3 linked regions of the Xenopus tropicalis genome follow. The protein of the gene in region 3 interacts with the protein of the main gene of each other region in a pairwise test. Links are inferred from orthologs where the notes say so. Each region holds a gene or a part of one and is shown on either strand. Other genes may lie near its edges.

Region 1 (4,012 bases), on a different chromosome or scaffold from region 3:
CACTTAAATGGGAGTTCCCTGCAATTCAGGTTACAGCCACAGGGTGGTGTGTAAACATATAAAAGTGGATAGCTCCCATGCTTAGCAGGTTTTGCAGCCTGGGACCTCCCTCTGGACAGAGGTGTGCAACAGGCCTGGCTAGTAGGTAGCAAGTTCCTATAATAGGTTGCTCTAGGAGTGACATGTAGGCAATTAAGTTAGAAAGGGCAGATATTGCCCCTCCAGGAGTGATAAAGGGGTTAAGATCCCCCAGCAATCCATCAGCTGGAGATCAGGGCCCAAAGGTCTACTCAGGTGGATTAAGCCAATACTAGAGGGAGATTCCTAATCTGAGGGTGCTCAGGCAAGAGTACCGGGGTGAGTCCCTGAGGTGGGTTAGCCTGGCGTGAGTACCGGGGAGAGCCCCAAGAAAGGGTCTTCCGGTGAGAGTACTGGGGGGAGCACCTAGATAGGATCACTTGGCGGGAGTACCATGGGTAGCCCAACAGGAGAGAGGTTCTCTAAAAGTGAATTTAAGGAGACGGTGCCCTGATGCATGTATTCCACTCCTGGAGAGGTCTGCCCTTAATAAAGAGATTCATCTGGTTCACTATATCCACTTGTGTTTGGTTCTTTCCTACCAAGGGATCACCTACTGGCCGCTAAGCAAATACCCCAAGGGAGGGGCAAGGTGCCGGGAGTTGTGTGCAGTCCCAGTCAAGGAGTAACGTGTAATATCAAGTTCCCAGGGTGGGAGTTCCAGTCCCACAATAGTAAGCGGGGGCTCAGGACTCCTGTAGCACCAAAGTAATAGCCAGTAGAAGCACTGCCAGCAAAAGTGGGCTACATATATATATATATATATATATATATATATGTATCTATCATCTATCTATATTTCTAATAACCTCTGCATCCGGCACCGATGTCCGTTATCTATATATAAGTAACTTCTGCTCTTTTTTTTTTTTTATTATTGAAACTTCTGCTCTTAGGACATTTACTGTCTACCGTGTCCTGTACATACTGCATTATCTTTCAAAACGCTCCCAATTTATCAAGCACCGATATTCGTTACGCCCCAAAGGCGGCGCTCATATATACGTGTGTGTGTATATGTGTGTGTGTGTGTGTGTGGTCGAGACGTCACTATCTCGCGAGATGAAGTATGTGACGTCGGGATTAGCTGTCCGGCAGGAGCCAAGGAGCTGGATAATAACGGCGTTGCGGGACGTTTAAGCAGCGATCCGGGACTGCGGGCTGTGTTAAGAAAATCGAGACTATTTCGGGAAGAGCGTGTTGGGCGGTATGGGTGATCCAAATGCCACTACTGGGTAATGGTGACAGACTGTAGCCAGAATATGAGGACCAGCGGGTGGAAAACATAAAGGATAACACATTAAAATAAAAGGGCAAGACATCTAAATACAACCAAATCCAAATAAGTGGGCCGTGTACTGTATATGTGTTGTGCACTATTTTTAAATTAAAAAAAAAAATGTATATTGTATTTTTTCCTGTTATAAAGGCCTTATCATTATGGATTCATTTAACCCTTACTCTGCCTCCCCCCTCTCCGTCCAATTACTAGTGTTATGTTAAAGAGGGCTCATCACAGTGGGGTAAAGTGCAAAATACAGGTATGTGCTTTTTGCAACAATGCACTTTGTGCCTGCTTTTTTTGCACCTGACAATGACAGGCACATTTTGTGCCCAAGACGTTAAAGGCAGCTTATGAGTGGAATGAGGATGTTCTATTTTTGATGCTGCTTAACTTGACATCATATCCAACATTCATTGTAAATGCAAGGTGCATCTAGATCCCTGTATTTACTGCAAGTCCAAGGCATTGGCACACAGAAGGTGCAACCAGCCCAGGAGCTCTGCAGGTGCACTAAACTCAGGCATTTTATGTATTGCATTGAATAATGCTGGTAATGCTTGACACTGTTATAGTTGATGATACCTGTGCATAAAGTTTTTGTACCTTTTCTTCTCCTTTAAGATAATTATCACTTTGGGGGATGGCAACTTTTAGGCACACCCCCAGTGATTGTAATTACTTACTTTATACCCTGGGCCAATGCCCCTGTTAGCACAAAATTACACAGCCTGGGGTACATGAGAGTGAACAATCCTTTTCCACCTTCTTTATTGCTGTGGGTGTGCATGAGCTGTAGAAAAAAAAAGCCAAACTTTAACCAAAAGTTTTTTACTCTGCTGCGCATGCGTCGGCCGCAGGATTTTGAAAATATAAGGGAAAAAGAGGATCGCTCTGCTTAATATTTTGCACCCCCCAGTAATTGTAACTTTTTAGTACCTTTTCTTTCTCCCTTAAATATGAGGAGTTATAGAGGAAATTTAATAGAGGGAGATCTATTTTGTTTAACAGCTCATAGTAAAAAGCCTTTGTATACTTTAGTCCTAACCTACATAGTGTTATATTTGGGAAACTATGTAATACTACACTGTAAATGTAAACATTTAATAAATGCATAAAATCAGTGCTGTTATGTTTTTCCTTTTATGTAGGTGACACAAAGGGTGACAGATGCCATGGCACTTCTATTATCACTGGCACTGAGAAAACCAACAAAGAACAGGATGTGGGAGCAAAGTAGGGCAGGTAGCCCATAAAATTTACGCATCTGGTTTGTCATCCATGGCTAGCTCAAGGTAATACAATTCTAAACCAAGGGGAATTGGAAGATTGAAATTCATAATAAAATATGCATGCTCTGATGGTAGTAGTTAGTCCTACCCTTTGTGTGACAGACCCTTCATTTTCGTGATGAAAATGCCTTATGAATATAAAGCTTTGGTTTCTTCCCCACAAGAATAAGCTTTACTGAGGTTTTAGGCTAGTGTCAGACAAAGTGTCTGTATTAATATATTGTTTTAATGTACAGTACTATGCAGTGCTATGTAAATACCAATACGCATACTTTTTTGTATTTTGTACTGGCAGATACATTAAATAGCTTCAAGAAGGCATTGGATCTATGGTTCTGCGAGTGAGAAAATACAAGGTTGCTGAAATTAGCTCATAGCACAAATTTTCCCCCCTTTGAGGCAAATTGGTGAGGCTTCTGGTGGGGGTTTTAGCCTTTCTCTGGGTCAACAAGCAGTTTCATTCCCTAAACTTTATCTCAAGAAAGTTATGCATGCATAGTCATATCTTCCTCCAGTTTCTGGTTAATCCTTTCCATAGCCTACCTGTTTTTTGATATTGTTGCATAATGGGCTTTTCTCTAAGCTAAAACAGAGGGCGAAGGGAGGGGGGTTGTATAATGGTATTATGATTATCTTCCCCACAAAGACCAAACATTGAGTAGTTTGTTTCCGTGTTTGCCCTATTTAACTCAAGAATTAACAAAACCTATAGTGTGATGAGAAGAATAGGCAAAAAAGTATGTTCAGCACAAACCTCATTTATTGAACTCATATTGAAAAAGGAGCTATACTTCCTCTTAGAATGTTAACTACCCCATTACATTTCAGCTACCTGTTTGATGGTTGTGCCCGAATACTTCAAGTGGTGAAGTCAATAGGTAGTAGGAAGGTCAACTAGAAGTCACTGGTAGTGGAATATTCCAGACTTGTACAATTTTGAACAACCCATTCATTTGGTGGTACACTATTGAGCATAGGTATCTAGACTCCCCTTTTAAAATTGTCACTATATGCAAATTAGCAAAATAAATATTTGTCAGGATTACTTTTATTGGCAAGCTGATCAATGTAAACCTAATATCATTATGGTAATGACAGGCATGAACTGGAGTTCTACTAGGCAAAGCAAAGTTCATACAAAATTGGATTTTGGGATGGGATTGGAATAATTTGACTGGCTTGCCTGGAGCCATGACCTCAACCTTACTGAACAACTCTGAGATTATGTCATCCGTTTTGGTCACCGTGTTTATATAGCTGACCTTGATTTTGTTAGCACTGTGTTGCATCTAAAACAGTGCATGATACTCACTATAAAGCATACAAGTAAGTGGATAATGTATCTATTTGTAAAATGTCT
Region 2 (4,024 bases), on a different chromosome or scaffold from region 3:
CTCTCCTACTGAGTACACTCAATCTCACTCTCCTACTGAGTACACACAGTCTACACTCTCCTACTGAGTACACTTAGTCTCACTCTCCTACTGAGTACACTCATAGTCTGCACTCTCCTACTGAGTACACTCAGTCTCACTCTCCTACTGAGTACACTCAGCCTCACTCTCCTACTGAGTACACTCAGTCTCACTCTCCTACTGAGTACACACAGTCTACACTCTCCTACTGAGTACACACAGTCTACACTCTCCTACTGAGTACACTCAGCCTCACTCTCCTACTGAGTACACTCATAGTCTGCACTCTCCTACTGAGTACACACAGTCTCATTCTCCTACCGAGTACACTCAGTTTCACTCTCCTACTGAGTACACTCATAGTTTGCACTCTCCTACTGAGTACACTCAGTCTCACTCTCCTACTGAGTATACTCAGTCTCACTCTCCTACTGAGTACACTCAGCCTCACTCTCCTACTGAGTACACTCATAGTTTGCACTCTCCTACTGAGTACACTCAGTCTCACTCTCCTACTGAGTATACTCAGTCTCACTCTCCTACTGAGTACACTCAGCCTCACTCTCCTACTGAGTACACTCAGTCTCACTCTCCTACTGAGTACACTCAGTCTCACTCTCCTACTGAGTACACTCATAGTCTGCACTCTCCTACTGAGTACACTCAGTCTCACTCTCCTACTGAGTACACTCATAGTCTGCACTCTCCTACTGAGTACACTCAGTCTCACTCTCCTACTGAGTACACTCATAGTCTGCACTCTCCTACTGAGTACACTCAGTCTCACTCTCCTACTGAGTACACTCAGCCTCACTCTCCTACTGAGTACACTCAGTCTCACTCTCCTACTGAGTTCACTCAGTCTCACTCTCCTACTGAGTACACTCATAGTCTGCACTCTCCTACTGAGTACACTCAGTTTCACTCTCCTACTGAGTACACTCATAGTTTGCACTCTCCTACTGAGTACACTCAGTCTCACTCTCCTACTGAGTATACTCAGTCTCACTCTCCTACTGAGTACACTCAGTCTCACTCTCCTACTGAGTACACTCAGTCTCACTCTCCTACTGAGTACACTCAGTCTCACTCTCCTACTGAGTACACTCAGCCTCACTCTCCTACTGAGTACACTCATAGTTTGCACTCTCCTACTGAGTACACTCAGTCTCACTCTCCTACTGAGTACACTCAGCCTCACTCTCCTACTGAGTACACTCAGTCTCACTCTCCTACTGAGTACACTCACAGTCTGCACTCTCCTACTGAGTACACTCAGTCTCACTCTCCTACTGAGTACACTCATAGTCTGCACTCTCCTACTGAGTACAATCAGTCTGCACTCTCCTGAGTACACTCACACTTTGCTACTTACTGTGTACACTCAGCAGTCTTGCCCTTGCTCTGATAATCCATGATACACTGTATCAGGTGATGGTTTTCATCCAGCATCTATTAAACACAGAAACCTCATTAAAAAAAGGGGTAAGTCCGAGAGCATCCCCTACAAATCTGAGCCCCTCCCCCTCCAATATAGTGATCCTGGCGCATAGGATCTGCCAATCTAGCAACTGTAAAACTACAACTCCCAGCACCCCTGTCTTGTGCATTCTCACACAAGAATTCAAACTGGGATCTGGTTGCTAAGGACTTGCTTACCCTAGCAACCAGGTAGGCTGGAAGATGAATAGGAGATACATGTAATCTCAAAATGAATCTGCTTTTTGCAGCCAGGAGTCAACTGCAAGATGGAGTGTGACTAAATAGGACGGCACAAAATAGTAAACCCAAGTTGGGTCATACGGCTGGGTATACAGTGGGTATACGGTGGGTATACGGTGGGTATAAATATCTGAGGGGGGGTCAGGGGACCATATATCCTTCCACAGCACACAATAATATCTCTAATTACAAAAAAATGTTTTCTTTAAATTCAGTGAAGTTGTGGGATTTTGTCTCTATAGCAGTTGTACCGGCGGATACATTGTATAACTTCACAGAAAGTCAGAGCCCACCCAGCAGCTACAGACTCCCCTGTTACACCCCTGTGAATACCCCTCTATTCAGGGGCAAGGAGGCGACAGATTGCCCTTTCTCTGCATCGCCTGCCAGCTAGGGAGCTTTAGCTGAATGGATGCAGGTCTTTCTTCAGCCTCAGCTACTACATAACTGTCCTGGCCGTCACTGCATTAATCCCTCTCTAAGGATTGTGCTTAGTGACTCTCAGCATCAGTGGAGATCAGAGCGGAACTGGGGGGGGGGGAGGAAGATTTAGGTGGGTAAAAGACAATACTATGTATATATATATATATTTATATGATACACAGTGTGTGCCAGTTGCTACTACTTCTCCCTATGGGGGTAATGATGGAGGGACCCCCCCAGGATGCATCTGCCCTTGTTATCATTCTAAGAAATGGCATCTCTAAGGACATTTACATTCCAAGCATGGTGCTGCCATGGAGACTAAATATTCTGATATATATATATAGAGATGAATGAGGTGCATATTTGCTCAGACTGTAAATTCTCTTGCCCCTCCCACAGGGGATCCTTGTTGCCCATTTTCTGCCCTCTGCATTATGTATGACACATGGGCTATATTTAATTCCCACCTCCCCTTATAATAAACCCAGGTGCCCCCAGCCCCCCTTCCCCATGCAGATCAGTACCTTCTGAATAGTTTGCTGGGTGATCTCTCCCTTGCCTCTGGGTCTGGCTGATGCAAAGGCCACAGACATGATGGCCCCTGTGCTCCTCAGTGGATAAATTATTACAGAATATTCTTATTATCAGCTGCCTATTACTAGGCAAAGGTTTGTCATTCTCTGCAGCAGACTGGGGGGGGAGTGCTTGTCAATGGAATAACCCATTTACACATCGTTTGCTTGTCACTTTAAAGAATACGTTTATTGCTACACAGCTACATCTATCATGTTTCATAAAATCGATTCGATGATGGAACAGTTTGACACAATTGAGAAATGAGCGCTTTGATGAGGTTCCCACCCCCCCACTAGAATGGTTGGATCCACTAGCCGGGTTTCCTGTCTCATGAGCCGGGTAAGGCAGAATCCCGGGGGAGGAGTTAAGCTTACGCAGTTTGCGTAGCGTAGACAGTGTGGTTAGCAGGGGAGGCGGCTCCTGCGCAGAACGGAAGTGAGGTTAGTGAATAGGAGAGGGATGAGTGCGCTGTTTTGAGCAGGTTTCGGTTTGTGAGCGGATTGTCCTCGGAGCCAACATGAGTTACGATCGGGCGATCACTGTCTTCTCCCCGGATGGGCACCTCTTCCAGGTGGAATATGCGCAGGAGGCCGTCAAGAAAGGATCCACAGCCGTGAGTACTGAGGGAGGTGGCCCCATGGCCGGACAGGGAGAGGGAATGGAGGAGGCCATTCAGGGGCCATTCAGGGGCCCAGTGCGATGGAAGCAAGTAGCCCCCCCCCCCAGGCAGGGGGAGACAGGGAAAGAGTGGGACCCCCCCCCCCGGGTTACATGGAATAGTAGCAAACCCACTGGGGAGAGGGAACGGGAGAGACCAGGCAGGCAGGGGGGGTACCAGTGTGTGGAAGGCCCCCATAGATAGGGGGAGAGATGATAGAATGGAAGGCCCCCATAGATAGGGGGAGAGATGATAGAATGGAAGGCCCCCATACATAGGGGGAGAGATGATAGAATGGAAGGCCCCCATACATAGGGGGAGAGATGATAGAATGGAAGGCCCCCATACATAGGGGGAGAGATGATAGAATGGAAGGCCCCCATAGATAGGGGGAGAGATGATAGAATGGAAGGCCCCCATAGATAGGGGGAGATCTGATAGAATGGAAGGCCCCCATAGATAGGGGGAGAGATGATAGAATGGAAGGCCCCCATACATAGGGGGAGAGATGATAGAATGGAAGGCCCCCATACATAGGGGGAGAGATGATAGAATGGAAGGCCCCCATAGATAGGGGGAGAGATGATAGAATGGAAGGCCCCCATACATAGGGGGAGAGAT
Region 3 (3,570 bases):
AGCAGTATTATACCTTTCCATTGAGCAGTATTATACCTTTCCATTGAGCAGTATTATACCTTTCTATTGAGCAGTATTATACCTTTCCATTGAGCAGTATTATACCTTTCCATTGAGCAGTATTATACCTTTCCATTGAGCAGTATTATACCTTTCCATTGAGCAGTATTATACCTTTCCATTGAGCAGTATTATACCTTTCTATTGAGCAGTATTATACCTTTCCATTGAGCAGTATTATACCTTTCCATTGAGCAGTATTATACCTTTCTATTGAGCAGTATTATACCTTTCCATTGAGCAGTATTATACCTTTCCATTGAGCAGTATTATACCTTTCCAAATGTTGCTGCACAAGCTGGCTCTAGTTTCTCCTTCCTGCAGAAGTCCAAATAGTGGGCATACAGTATGCATCGAGGCAGGCAAACTCCCTCACATACAATATAGTTCTCCTCAAGCCTGCAATTAAAGAAATTAAGATGGATAGCTAATATCAATTTCTTTTTCACATACAAACCCCTGAGTCAATAACATTAACTTTCAAGCATTTAATAGCTTCAGGCACTTTTTTCAACATAATAAGGCACCAGGACTGATAGTTCTTTTATTCGGACAGAAACCCTGCGTGTGGAGCAATGTGCCATAATGATTTTTATTGAATCCAACACTGGTTCATTTGATATAGCTTAATTTGCTAAGGTAACCAAATCATGTTTAAAATCAGGGAAACTGCTAATTAATTCAAGTTGCTGGGCTGCACTGACTGCATTTGAATTAATTACAATAAAGCCCTAGAATATTAGGCTGATAAAATACAATATTTATACTGCATGTGCTTTTGCAAATTTTAGGCATGCTGCTTAAAAATATGCACTTCATTTAAGCACTGACCAAAAAATTCTTGCAAATTCAAAACCTAACACTAAAAATGCATCTACAAAAACTGTCGCCTTCTTTTGTCCAGTGCTTATACATGCCAATTTGCGTTTAGATATGGGTCAGCCAGTCACTCTGGATTCTGCCAGATCTGAATCCCACAAAAAGTGCTCTAATTCAGCCAAATCCTGGATTCAGTGGAACCCGGCTTCTTTTAAAAATGTTATTATATAACATTACATAATGGGCACCAAGATGTTAAGAAAGAAGTAGAATAACATTTAATGAAATTAATTTATGATTCTTTTTTATTTTTATTTTTTTTATTTTATTTAAATTTTTTCCTAAATAATTTTATCTAAGGTGCAGGAGGGCAGAAATGTACCCATAGAAACCCGTTAGCATATCCAGTTAGCTATTCAGTATCACTATGGTTAATGGCTTTAGTAATGCCCTTTATCTTGGTGACTCGACTGTTCTATTACAAAAAGAATTCCTTGGAAATGTTATTCATTATTAGCTGTGCTGTGGCTTATGATTACAATATTTACGCTATGGCCCTCTGTTACATATTGCATAGAGAAAATGTCATGGATGTGTAATCACTTATACTGATAAGAAACACTTTATTACTGTAGTTGTTTACAAATCTGAAAAGTTTTTATCATCTCCTGTATTTAATAATGATATCATCATTCACATATGATTTACATTGCATTGTCATAAAAACTAAGATACTGTATATGTTGCTCTACAGAGATCCTATTGTCCCACAGTCCTGTGTTTAGGAAGGCAGATAACCAATTGGAAGATAGCATCAATGTGTAAACACACATTATTTGTTTAATATAATTGTTCTGAAAACAAAGATTGTATAGCAATATTTTTAACTTCTCAACTACATAGCGATTGTTTACTTACTGCTAGTGTAATGTGCAAAGTGTGCCATGATTTTTACTCAGCATTTTTTCTCCTTAAAGGACATGTAAAGCCTTCATTTGCCTACAATGTGTATCAGTTGGGCACATCTCCCCCACCCAAATGGCATCATGTGTACTGCATATATCCCCTCCGTTTGCCAGCACCATCACATTTCCCTAAAGCAAATAGCAGCTTTCACCTGGTGGCCGTTTTTCCTCAGATACATTTAAATCTGCAAACAGCATACACACACACAGACCCTTATTCAGCATACATTTCATCAAGAATACAGGCTGACATAGGCAGAACTGTCTTTGATAAAAGTTTTGCTTTGTTTGAGCTGAGCTCAGGAGAGAAAGTTAGGAGAAAAAAATTGAAGCAGACAGCTAGAGCCTAATTTCTATGGGAACCAAAAATGCCATCTCTTCATTGGCTGCTAGACTGGAGGACACGTTTAGTACTCTGAGATTAGAACAACTGAGCATGCCCACAAGCCAGAAGTCAAAGCTAATTCCCAAGGGAGCGGGCCGAGTGGGCTACAGGAGGAGAAGGACATCAAAGTGATTAAAGGGGATGTTGCAGCCTTACTATTAACCTCTGGACAACCAGAGTGGCAGGTATTGAAACATTTGAAGAGGCCTTTCACTGATTAAATTTTTGTGTGTGGGGTTTGTCCTTTAATGCCAGCATAATCACATCAGCAAGGGGGTGATGTGCCTAACATTAAATGCATTAAAATACAAGTGTACATGATTCTTTAGGAGTAAGTTTGGTGTGTCTATTGATACAGGCCTACCATGAGGATACTGGGGCTACCAGGGCTCCCCTGCAGCAATAGATGCACTTCCTTTGTAGCAGAAGACAGTGCAAAGGCAGTGATACCCAGAGCAACAATATGGTAGTGCAAGGAATGGCTTTGGACATTTTTCATTGATACTGAGCCCTTTTATATTCCTAATATCTGTGAGCTCTCGAAAAGAAATATAATATAAAAATATTATTTGCTATTTTTCCTGTTCTTCAACCTAGACAGGGATTACATATGTGCTTGGTGCTGTTTGAAATAAACCCAGGATTACAGTAGTTGTGTCTATGCAATAATCTACAATACTGCATATACTATTTTCTTGTTGATGTTAATGTTGATTTTTGGGCCTTAAACATTAAACCCACCCCCCATAATCTAATCTCCCTTATAAAAATGTTTCTGTATTTTGAACTAAGAATGTCAGTTAGTTTTGCTTTTTAAAGCCTAATGCAATATTTAAAGATTTTTTTATGATTTCACTTCTAAACTTGGACCACATGACTTTCATGATACCTTGTATGCCAAGTGTCCTTTCTTTCCACTGACAATCTCTGGTTTTAAACTCTGCAGATGAATTTTCTTTATGCCTGAAAATGTCCCTGTTCTGAACAACTGCACAGGAGTACTGCACATGTTATTTTTATTTTTGCTCTGGGTTACAGGACCAGGGACTACTATGTAGGTCTTGACTTATCAAGGGTGATTTTGATAATAGTAGTATTAGGATTAACTAGCATCATGAATGCATTGTTCCTACATTACACAGCAGCATTTTACATACAAATCCCAATTAAAAATAGAGCCACAAACCCTGTTAATCGAATCAGTAAGGCAAAGGTTCACAACTGTGGGGCAGGCTTTCCCAGTGGAGACTGGAGGTGACTGGAGGTGACTGTCCAGTTAGGGTGATAGTGCCTATATGCCCTCCAAAATGTTTATGAAAGACCAGTTTCAAAGTCAGGTAG

The links.
Region 1: the proteins of rfx6 (region 3) and frs3 interact in binary tests that used the Homo sapiens proteins (3 or more experiments, as listed by UniProt). The two-hybrid records come from large-scale screens. The link is inferred for Xenopus tropicalis from reciprocal best matches to the Homo sapiens genes RFX6 and FRS3.
Region 2: the proteins of rfx6 (region 3) and ss18l1 interact in binary tests that used the Homo sapiens proteins (3 or more experiments, as listed by UniProt). The two-hybrid records come from large-scale screens. The link is inferred for Xenopus tropicalis from reciprocal best matches to the Homo sapiens genes RFX6 and SS18L1.

Annotation. Positions count from the first base shown.
Region 1 is NC_030678.2:70,887,058-70,891,069, forward strand, and holds the start of frs3 (fibroblast growth factor receptor substrate 3), read left to right. Parts: upstream 1-1,212; 5' UTR 1,213-1,285; exon of another isoform or gene 1,286-1,313; intron 1,314-2,511; 5' UTR 2,512-2,655; intron 2,656-4,012. UniProt on the Homo sapiens protein: Adapter protein that links FGF and NGF receptors to downstream signaling pathways. Involved in the activation of MAP kinases. Down-regulates ERK2 signaling by interfering with the phosphorylation and nuclear translocation of ERK2.
Region 2 is NC_030686.2:4,413,847-4,417,870, reverse strand, and holds the start of ss18l1 (calcium-responsive transactivator), read right to left. Parts: upstream 2,801-4,024; 5' UTR 2,763-2,800; coding exon 2,694-2,762; intron 1,474-2,693; coding exon 1,397-1,473; intron 1-1,396. Other genes in the region: psma7 (proteasome subunit alpha type-7), read left to right, coding at 3,263-3,358. UniProt on the Homo sapiens protein: Transcriptional activator which is required for calcium-dependent dendritic growth and branching in cortical neurons. Recruits CREB-binding protein (CREBBP) to nuclear bodies.
Region 3 is NC_030681.2:74,668,446-74,672,015, forward strand, and holds part of rfx6 (DNA-binding protein RFX6), read right to left. Parts: intron 460-3,570; coding exon 336-459; intron 1-335. UniProt on the Homo sapiens protein: Transcription factor required to direct islet cell differentiation during endocrine pancreas development. Specifically required for the differentiation of 4 of the 5 islet cell types and for the production of insulin.